Linked DNA regions of Rattus norvegicus. The protein of the gene in region 3 purifies or fractionates together with the protein of the main gene of each other region. This does not show direct contact. Links are inferred from orthologs where the notes say so. Each region holds a gene or a part of one and is shown on either strand. Other genes may lie near its edges. The genes, in order: Cdc37, Mob2 and Stk38l.

Evidence for each region.
Region 1: the proteins of Stk38l (region 3) and Cdc37 purify together in Homo sapiens (affinity purification with mass spectrometry; 3 studies listed by BioGRID and IntAct, with this or other methods). This does not show direct contact. The link is inferred for Rattus norvegicus from reciprocal best matches to the Homo sapiens genes STK38L and CDC37.
Region 2: the proteins of Stk38l (region 3) and Mob2 purify together in Homo sapiens (affinity purification with mass spectrometry; 9 studies listed by BioGRID and IntAct, counting the BioPlex papers as one, with this or other methods). This does not show direct contact. The link is inferred for Rattus norvegicus from reciprocal best matches to the Homo sapiens genes STK38L and MOB2.

Annotation. Positions count from the first base shown.
Region 1 is NC_086026.1:27,953,671-27,956,958, forward strand, and holds the end of Cdc37 (hsp90 co-chaperone Cdc37), read right to left. Parts: intron 3,139-3,288; coding exon 2,956-3,138; intron 2,830-2,955; coding exon 2,758-2,829; intron 1,157-2,757; coding exon 1,001-1,156; 3' UTR 624-1,000; downstream 1-623. UniProt on the Homo sapiens protein: Co-chaperone that binds to numerous kinases and promotes their interaction with the Hsp90 complex, resulting in stabilization and promotion of their activity. Inhibits HSP90AA1 ATPase activity.
Region 2 is NC_086019.1:206,576,547-206,580,962, forward strand, and holds the start of Mob2 (MOB kinase activator 2), read right to left. Parts: upstream 2,904-4,416; 5' UTR 2,862-2,903; coding exon 2,845-2,861; intron 2,404-2,844; exon of another isoform or gene 1,997-2,403; intron 1-1,996. UniProt on the Homo sapiens protein: Stimulates the autophosphorylation and kinase activity of STK38 and STK38L.
Region 3 is NC_086022.1:181,416,874-181,419,620, reverse strand, and holds part of Stk38l (serine/threonine-protein kinase 38-like), read right to left. Parts: intron 2,558-2,747; coding exon 2,434-2,557; intron 1,357-2,433; coding exon 1,261-1,356; intron 1-1,260. UniProt on the Homo sapiens protein: Involved in the regulation of structural processes in differentiating and mature neuronal cells.

The DNA.
Region 1 (3,288 bases), on a different chromosome or scaffold from region 3:
TAGAATCCTCAGGACTGGAGAAAAGGCTCCGTGTTGCAGAGGACACCGATTTCACTCCAGGGAGCCACATGGTGGACTTAGAGTCATCTGTAACTACAATTCTACAAGACTCTAGCCTCTGCATGTACTAGATGCACATATAGAATACTCATACACAAAAATTAAATCTTAAGCCAGGAGTGCTTTTGATCCCAACACTCAGGACAGGTCATAGAGGCAGGCAGATCTTTGAGTTTGAGGCCAGCCTGGGCTATATATTGTGTTCTCAGACAGCCAAAGGTACACAGAAAACACACAAGGGCATCCACGCACACACACATACAAATTAAATTTTAGAATAGTATGTTCCCCTAGCAGTGGCAAAGTCCAGTGTGAAAGGCTGCATATTTCTCATGTAGCCTAGGCTACCCTCAAACTCCTATCTGTCCTCTTGTCTCCATGGAGTGCTGGGGCTGAGGGAGGAAAAGAACTGGGAGAGGCTGAGATAGACAAGGAGTTGGAGAGACACAGAAGGCCTAGGACTTCTGAACAGTGAAGGACAGGGCAAGGGCATGGCTGTTAGCACTCTGGTTCTCCCCACCTAGGTTCACCCTCTGCCTCAAACAGCACTGAGCCAGTGGCTTCCAGCACCTGGAACTGTTTATTGGACATTGTTGCCAGTTGCAGGACAGAAAGCTAGACAGAAGAGAAACAGTGACCATAGACCCATAGGGACAGACCCTGCCCAGATGGGGACATGTGTATCCCCAACCCGGTGGACCAACCTGGCAGCTGCTGCCCCTCCCCAGACCCCCAGGACTTTGGCATAACGCTGATGGGGGTGGGGGGGCTGCAGACAGCAGAGCCCCTCAACCCGAAGCAGAGAATCTGATGAGTGCTGGGGACAGGCCGGAGGAGAGGGGACATGGGGCAGGCCATGGGCCAGGACGTGAGGAGCAGCAGAAGTGAAGAAGTCGGGAGCTAGGGACATGGTGGCTGGGTTTCCTTTTCTGGAGAAGGGTCACGCACTGATGTCTTTCTCGTTGCCCGCTTTGGGGACGGCTTCCAGCAATGGGTCCCCGGGGCCCGCCTCCTCCCCCTCCTTGGCCTCACCAGACTTGGAGTTGGGGACCCAGAGGCCAGAATCGATGCAACGCTGCATGTGATACTTGGCATCCTGTGGAGAAAGGACAGCAGGTGAGGCTGTGCCAGCGCCATGGTGCCCCACAGTCCCTACGCCTCCTTCAAGGCTGCTCAGCCCCCTTCTACCCTCAGCTGTCTAAAGAACTGGTGTGTGATTCAGCAGTGAAGCTCGCCTAAGGTTCTGAGACTCTTCCATTTCAGCACCAGAGAAGCAGATATGGTGGTACACACTTGTGATCCCACCACTTAGGAAGTAGAGGCAGGAGGGTCAGGAGTTCAAGGTCATCGTCAGCTTGGGCTACATGAGTCTCTGTCTCAAAACACACACACACACACACACACACACACACACACACACACACACACAAGGGGTGGTGACAGTTCTGGTTCAGCAGTTGAGTACATCCCCTCAAATCATGAGACCCAGAGATTATATTCCAGCACCAAAGTAACAATCAGGATATCCTGAGGGTATCAGGGAACAGAGGCAGGTCTATCTGTGAGCCTAGTTTACAAAGTGAGATCCTATCTCAGAAAAAAGAAGGGAAGGGGGCAATAAATTAAAAAAATTTTAAGCAAACTGGTGTTCTGGCTGCCAGTGTATGCATGTGTGTGTGTGTGTGTGTGTGTGTGTGTGTGTGTGTGTGTGTGTGTGTGTGTGTCAGATCCTAGAATTGAACCTGGGTTGGAAGAGCAGCCCATGCTCTTAATGACTCTTCAGGCCTTCATCTGGGGCTTGGTGACTGGCCTCACTGTATGCCAGGCCTCACCATGTTAGTAGACAATGACCTTGAACTCATTCCGATCCCTGTAGGTGTGTACACCTCTACTGGGTTTAGTCTCTGCTGGTGACTGAACACAGCATCCTGCATGCAGACCAGGGTGCAGCTCTGCACTGCAGCCTGTCCTACCCAGCAAACTTTTCTTAAGGGCCACACAGTGTCTGCCATATAGTGTCTGGTCACAGTGACTCTGAGTTTATAGCAGAAAATCAATCATAAGTGATGCAAAAAAAAGTTTAGGGACAGCATTTCAATTACGGTCACTCCATAAAGGTTAAGTGGTGAGCTGCCCACTGGGCTTTGCAGACTCCCTTCCAGATGTGCATTCCCACGGGAGGTCGTAGAGTCTCTACTACTGTGGCTAAAGGAGAAGCTGGTGACAGAATTGGCAACAAATCAAGTTTGTTAAAATTCAAACCTGAGTTGGATGCATGGCAGTGATGAGAGGCCCTGCCTAGAATCCCCCAGTGAGGGGTACAGACGTGGCTTAGCAGCTAAGCTTGAAGCGTTGGGTTATATTCCCAGTCACCAAAAAGGAAGAATAAAAGAAAGACAAAAAGAAAAGAAGAGAAGCTCAAGTTTCACTCCTCATGCTGCTGCTTTTGGAGCGCTGGACCTCCCTTTCCTTAGAGAGGCTCAGGAGGGACACTATCTTTCGTTTTTAGAACCACAGCCACACACATAGCTGCCACTGAGTGACACCCTGTCCTTGTCATTCTCAGACAGTTTCGTTGAGTTGCTCTGGCTCATCTCAACTAAGCCTGGCCTTGAACTTACAACCCTGTCTTAGTCTCTGGAGATGACAGGGATGAACTCCCTACTCTGCTGTCCGCTACAGAGACTGGGGACTCACAGTAGGATCCATCTTGCTGATGGCGTCTTGCAGCATCTGTACATCCTTCACATCAAAGCACTTCTGCAGCTCCTGGGTACAGAGAGGCCAGGGTGAGGGCCTGGGCTTGGGATGGGGGGCAATTAAGGGGGGGCGGGGCAGAGGAGCAGCAATGCCCACACATCACCCTCCTCCCTACTGGGCCCTGGAGAGCCACACCTCAGGCAGAGATTCGTAGACCTCCACAGGGTCCAGGCCACCAGGGCCTAGCCTCTTCTTGCGCTCCTCCTCCTCGTACTCCTTCATGGCCTTCTCTATTCGCAGCTTGGCGCGGCCCCGCACACGCTCCTTAAAGGCCTCCAGTTCATACTTGAAGCCCTCCATGTACTGCTGGTCAGCAGTCTGTGGAAGAGGACGGGTGTATTCACTACATGGTTGACAGCCAGGTGCTTAGGGGGCGAGGCCCCTGCAGCAGCTCTTGGAGGCTCCCTGAAGCTTTTCCTGAACTCCACCATGGGTACCTCAAGGCTTGGCCTTTGTCTCCTGTATTCA
Region 2 (4,416 bases), on a different chromosome or scaffold from region 3:
ATACACTGTATCAAATAGCCAACACCAGGTTTCATCTCCTACCTGCACTGGAGAGATCTAAAGGCTCCACAAGAGTCAGGTACTGTGGCTCCTGAAAGGGAGCCACAGTGGCAGGCTGGAGAGAGACTACTGGAGAGAGCAGAGGTTTAGTAAAGGTGGCCAGGCAGAAAGGACAATTCACTATCATCAATGGGAAGAGGAGAAAATGTATTCTTTTGACTCCAAGGGGCTTCTGGATTGTGCTTTCTGCTAGATAAAATTCAAACTACACTCAGACCTCCTGGTTAAATGCTTGCCCCAGAAAAGACTCAAGTGTTGCTTAAAGTATCCCACAGCATGTTGAGGTTCCCTCTTCCAAATTCTGAGCAGCTTCCCCTTGGATGTTACCCTGCTCTTGGTTGTCCAGAACAGAACAAAGACCTACTATGCAAAAGTTGTAACACTTTCTAATAAAGAATGAAGGCGGTCTGACTATATACACTGTTTAACAGCCAGCTCAAAGCTTCTCCTACAGGACAAGAGGTGGCTAAGAGCCACGCCTACAACATTCTCCAGAAAAGTCCCAGCAGGTTTACCACCAAGTCCCAACGTGCCAAACTCTGCTATGGTTATCCCAAGCATGCTTCCCTGCAGGGCCTCCCTTCCTCCTGAGCAGCTGGAACACAGAAGATAAGGCAGGAGATGCTCAAAGCCCCAGCGTGGTCCTCACCCAGCTAAGGGTAAGGTGCAGCTTTTCATTTACACCTTTGTAGGCCTCTCTTCTGGCTCATGCCACACTGGGTTCACCCAACATGAAGAAGGTTAACAGAACCTTCAGTGTAACATAAGCAAGCAAACAAACAAACAAACAAACCTTGAAGCATGAGCACTACATTCCAAACTCCTCCTTGATATTGAATGGTCTGAATTAAGAAAAAGATGATATGTTTATCCAATTCTTCCAGGCAAAAAAGTACTTAAATGGTTAACTGCAGATAAAGTTTCAGTCCTGAGCAAACAGTGGGTACTCTGAAGTAAAAAAATGGCTTCACTTCCTACTGACCACCTTGCCAGCTTTCACAGGGGATCAGAAGACAAAGTGGAGTATATCTGGTGGGGAGGAGGGGAGGTGTCTCTGAAGGCTCACTCTGCAACTTCCATTCGTCCTACTTTTATAAGAATACTATGAAAGATGAATGAGGAATATTGGGGCAGCTTGTCTTTATCTTCCAAAGATACCAAGGAGGAACTACACCTGATCACTGAACAAAAGAGAATTTTAGGCAAGGAACTGTTTAAAGAATTCATGACTACCAATATTCAACATGTAGCATGTGACACTTAAGAACACAAACACAAAGACAATTAATTACCCTGCAGCCAGATCCCTCTTTAAAAATCTCTACTGCCCTTTGTAACTACAACTATTTTTTACGGTGAATCAGATTATTTCCTCCTTTCCAAAGGTCCCAGAAGCAGAAGTATCTCTCAGCTATACTCTAGGGCCTGGAATGACCCCCATCTTAGAGTGAGAGATAAGGGTTCTGCTGCCCTTTCCCACAGAGCTCCTTGTTACCAGGGCTTTGACAAGGGTCACAAGAACCAGGGCCTCCAAAGGCTGACGATGGTTAATATCTGCATATTTGCAATGATGATTCAGTCCACAAAAGACAGTCCTCAGTCAGTTTAAAGACTAGCTTCTGGTCAGTCTCCAGGCAAGAAGCACCTGCCACTGATGGGCATGGGCCTGTAAAAATTACACATACAGCAGTGGGCAGTTTCTTCAGTCACCAAGCTGACAGATCCAGTTCTCTTGCACTGAAACCATATTTGCAGGTAGGCCAAGTATAGTCAGTGCTGGCCCTCTCCACAAATGCACAAAGGAAGAATGATTTGGAATAGGCTGGATACAGATATGTGTCCTACACTTAAAACCTCTGGACTTCAGAGACCTTGTAAATGATCAGGACATATCATCTGCCAAGCTTACCATATGCAAAACATGTGTGGCCCTTACCTCAGTTAACCCTTCAGTAAACCTGTTCTGCGGATTTCACAGCTTCCATCTGACAGGCAATCCTTTAAAGCAAGTCTAGAGAGGACCACACAGCTAGGAAGCAGAGAGGAGCCAGTGACAGTGCTGCTTCTTGAAGAAATCAGATGGGTCCTCCGCCTGGTCCTCCTGTGTCACTCACACTTAGCACCCTAAGTGGCACTATGTGGCTCCCAGCCACCCTTAGTCTCCTGTTTATCCCTGTGGCTGCTCCTTTAGTCTGCCCTCTCCTTAGGTTGCAGCACTGGGAGGTCAAAACCCATCTCCATCGCCTCAGACGTCCTGACAGTACCACCACTACACTTTCCTCCGCCTTCCCCGGCTTCCATCTCCAGAGTCCCGTGCAGCTCTCGCACTCCCGAATCCGAAGGCCGGCATCTCTGTGGCCAAGTAGGATTATACTGACCCAACAGCAGGGCCGCGGGCACCGCCACAGAGTAGAGAACCGAGACGCGGGGGAGCGCGCGGCTAGGAGCGCCCGCCTCTCACTCTCCTCAAAAGTAAATTGGAAGAAAGTCACTTGGGCGGAAGAACTTTCGCAGGCCCCGCGAAGACCGGGTGCCCGACTCGCAGCCCGTCAATCCGCGGCGAGGGACTGCGGCCTCTCGGGACAGCGCCTCGGGGACCGGGCCTCGCTCCCGCCGGCCGGCCGGCCGCCCGCCCGCCCGCCTGCCCGGCCTCCCGGTACTCCGCAGCGGCTGGCTGTCTTCCCGAGCCCCGGCCCCTCCTGGAACCCGCCGCCCGCCGCCCTACGCTCCCTACGTTAGCCGCCGCCCGCGCAGCGCCGCGCTACGCCGGCCGCCGCCACTCACCCCATGAGCCAGTCCATGGCTGCGCGGAGCCCGCGCCTCGCTCGGCCTCAGCCCCGCCGGCGGCCGGAAGTAAACACTCGATGGCTCCCGCCCGCTGCCGGAAGTGACGCGCGCACGGCTTGCTGGGACGCGTAGTCCCAGCGGCCCCTGCGGCGATGTCCCGGTACCTGTCCTGGAGTACCAGGACCTAGCCCTATTGCAAACCTCGGGGCTCCGGGACCCAGGAGCATCCTGTACCTGAAGACTGTCCGGAGTTTCTGGATTCCCAGAGTGAGAATAACTTCAGAGCGTCCCAGAAACCCAGACGCCGGGAACTTCGGAGTGCCTCGGACTCGCAAAGTGCCTGTAATAACACAGTGCCCTGGATCCTGGAGTGTCCCACCCCAGTGTTTCACACCTCGAGTGCCAGGACTTCAGAGTGCCCTAACCCCAGGAGTAAACCTTACCCCCAGAGTGCCTGAATCTGCGGAATGCCAGCTCCGTGGGAGTCTGAAGTTCCTAGTACCTGAGTATCCCTGACCCCAGTATCCCAGACCTGGGATTACCCAGACTCAGAAGTGCCTGGAACCAAGAGTGGCCCCAACTCTATATCCCGGATCTGGGAATACCCAGAACCCCCAGGCTGGAACATCGGAGTGTCTCTGACCAGCAGGATGCACTCTTTCTCTGCATTGTCTCTCCTCTTGTTTACATCCCTCATGTTGTCCACCTTAAACCTGTTGTCATCTTTTGCCCACACCTAGTGCCTCTACCAGGATTCTTCTTAACACACTGCCTCTTCTGAGTCCTCCTCCCTTTGCTGGCTGTTCATTTGCATCCCAGCTGCCCACTGCTGTGGACATGGTTGAGCCCCCTTCTGTTCCCTTTCTCTATAAGCTGTACTCTCTAGCTCCTGGGTGACCCTCTGTTATCTAGGGTACTTCTCTCCAGTGAGTACTTCTCTCTCTTCATGATCCAGGGTATCTATCCTATTGTCTGCTCTTTCCAGAGCCTGACCAATACTAGGAACTCATTGAATACTTTTGAAAGGCTGACTCTCCATTCTCTTCACTGGAGATATGCTTCCAGGAGCACACATTTGAGCAGAGGAATCACAGCAACCTAACTGATTTGTGTCTTCAGTGGGGTGTCATGAATAGCAGGCACCAGACAGATAACATCTTCAGGACATCTGCCTGCTGTAATATACTTGAAGTTGTCATATACTTGAAATGGGGTTCACCCTTCCCAAAAGAACCATTCCAGGATAATGGGAAATGTCCAGTCCATTCCTTCTTTATAGCATGAACTGCCATGCACCCGGAGAGGTGAGGTGACAGTTTTATTACAAAAACAAAAACAAAAAACAAAAAAAAATAACTTGAGGTGAAACTGAATAATGAAAGACCTGGGGAGGGAAAAGTCACCAAATCAAGATATATTGGGAGGAGAAAATCAGGTCTGTGCTCTCCTCCATTTCTATTCCCATGGATGCCCATAGTCATACTGGATGACTCCCCCACCCCATAACCACTTTGTTTTAGTCAACCATCAGCTGGTTGCCTTGCAATGTAGCCTTGTCCACTGCTTCCA
Region 3 (2,747 bases):
AGGCAGATCTTTGAGTTTGAGGCTAGCCTGGTCTGCAGAATGAGTTCCAGGATAGCCTGGGCTACACAGTGAAACCCAAACAACAATAAAAATGAAACCAAAAGCCAACAACAACTCCTCAAAAACAAAACAAAAAACCTTTTAAATTATATTTATTTACTTATTTATTAAGTGTATAGACACACACACACCCCACAACACACAACACACACCATATCACAAGTGTAGAGGTCAGAGGACCACATTCAGGAGTTGATTCTCTTCTTCTACCTTGAGGGACCCAGGAACTGAACTCAGATTATCTGTCTTTTCAGATAACGGCACCTTATCAGCCTTTTTAAATTTTATTTTAATATTTCTTTAAACAAACAAAAAAAAACATTTATTTACTCTGTAGAGAGTGTTCTGCCTACATGTATCCTACACACCAGAAGGGGACACCAGATCCCATCACAGATGGTTGTGAGCCACCATGTGGTTGCTGGGAATTGAACTCAGGACCTCTGGAAGAGCAGCCAGTGCTCTTAACCTCTGAGGCCCTCTCCAGCCCTGAGGCAGGCATTTCAGTTTTTCAGCAAACATCTAAAGGATCTATTGGGTGCTGAGGTGCAAGTCATGAGAAGCCTGTGCCGGCCATGCTTGTGCACAGCCCCAGGTGAGGGGACAGCGAGTGAGCGGCAGGTCTGGACTTCCTGCCCTGCCACAGTGAGTTTAGGCTCTGCTCTGCTGTGCGACTGCTTCCATAGTCACTGTGCTGTGTCTAGAAACTCTAGCTTGTCCCCGTGGGCAAGACACTGACAGCAGTGCCAGGAGAAGATGAGCGTTTACAGGACAGTCTCATGAATGTACTGGCACACAGTGGGAAGTACTAGACACGCAGTGTGACCTCCAGGGAAGACACTGAGCAGCTGCAGAGGCAGTGACTTCTCAGAAGCAGCGGCACTGCCTCTCGTGCTCAGTCTCAGGGGTTCTCAACCTTCCCAGTGCTGTGACCTTTAGTACAGTTTCTCATGTGGTGGTGACCCCATCCATAAAATTATTTTTGTTGCTACTTTGTAACTGTAATTTTGCTACTGTTAGGAATCATAATGGAAATATCTGCGTTTTACGATGGTCTTAGGTGACCACTGTGAAAGGGTCATTTAATTCACAGAGGGGTTGCAACCAACAGGTTGAGAATCATGAGTCTAGAAGGAACAGAAGTGCAGTAACCACCAAATCCAGAAGCTGGTGTTTGTCAGCTCAGGCTGCAGAACATACCTTATGTGCCCCCAGTCCACACCCTCAAAGAACGGATGACCTTTGATCTCTTCCACACCACCATTCCCAATTCTGTTTTCAGAATCAGTACAAAATCTAGAAAGGAAAACCAATTATCAGGCACATTTTTCATCTCAAACACTCTAGTAGTTATTACTTCGAATGTTTTTATAAAGCGTTTCAATTTAGATATTGAAGCTACTATGGGAAATACAGAGAAAATACAAGTTACCCATAAACCTATCCTTTAGAGATAACCAGTAAACATTCTGTAGCTACTTTTCATCTTATAATATTAATGTAATAACAAAATTAATACAATAATAAAATGTAAAATATTGTATTAACACAATAACCGTTACTTTAAGACTTTTTCTTCATTGATTATACTAGAAAATTTTGTAATGCTGCTCAGTATTTTCCCGTGAAGTAACTTTATACAGAGATATCAGATTGATCCATCCACTGCTACCACTGAAGACTTCTATAAGTTTCAATTTTTCACAACTAAAATAAATAAGAAACATACCTAACTCTTTACCCCTACACAGTTAAATGTCCAATTAAATTCCTTGAAATGAAACTGCTAGGTCAAAGGTCATGTACAGCTTAACGATTTTATACAGCATGCTGCCAGCTGTCTGCTCTCAAGGGTCGTCTCAATTCACGCTCCTCCAGCACTGGTGAGGCAGTCTTCTGCCTGAGTTCCTGTGCACTCTATGGCAAGAGCTTCTGACACATTTACTCTCCTTTCCTATCTGACGTACTGAGTCCTTGTAGTTGAACATGAGTAAGTGACACTTTGCTGATCCTATTACCAGGATATCCAACAAGATCTCCTCTCTCTCTTCTGAACACCGTTTTCCTACAAGTCTTTAAAGTGTTTGCCTTTTGCGAGTCTGGGGAAATCAGCAGTCGAGAACACTTAGGGTGGCTCACAACTGTCTGTAACTCCAGCTCCAAGGGGTCTTCTAGCCTCCATGGGCAAGTGGTACCCACACACACACAAGTAAAAATAAATAAAATCTTTTTTAAAGATCAAATTTTGTAAAAACCTTTCTTTATACTGACCTCCCTGACTAATCGAATCAGTGGTATTTTTCCTCCCAAGACTTTCCCTGCCTCAGAGACCCTGACCATTCATGCACTTGTCAAGGTTTAAGAGCCACTGACCTGAGAATCAAGTCCTTGGCTTTCTCAGAGACGGGCACCTCTGGAGGAAATGCCAGCGTCTCCTTCCAGCTCATAACTTTCCTGTACGTTTCTTGAGGTGTCTCGGAGCAGAAAGGTGGAAAGCCTGGGCACCAGAGATCAACAATTTATCAGCGCTGGGACAATTCAAGCAGACCACAGTATGTGCCACAAGAAAGGAAACAGCACTCATGCGCCAGCTCACCATACAGTTACTCAGGAGGTCCACAGGGATAAAACCCACTCCATTTTATCTGAGCCCTGCATTTCCAACCTGATAAAGGAAGCCAAGCTAA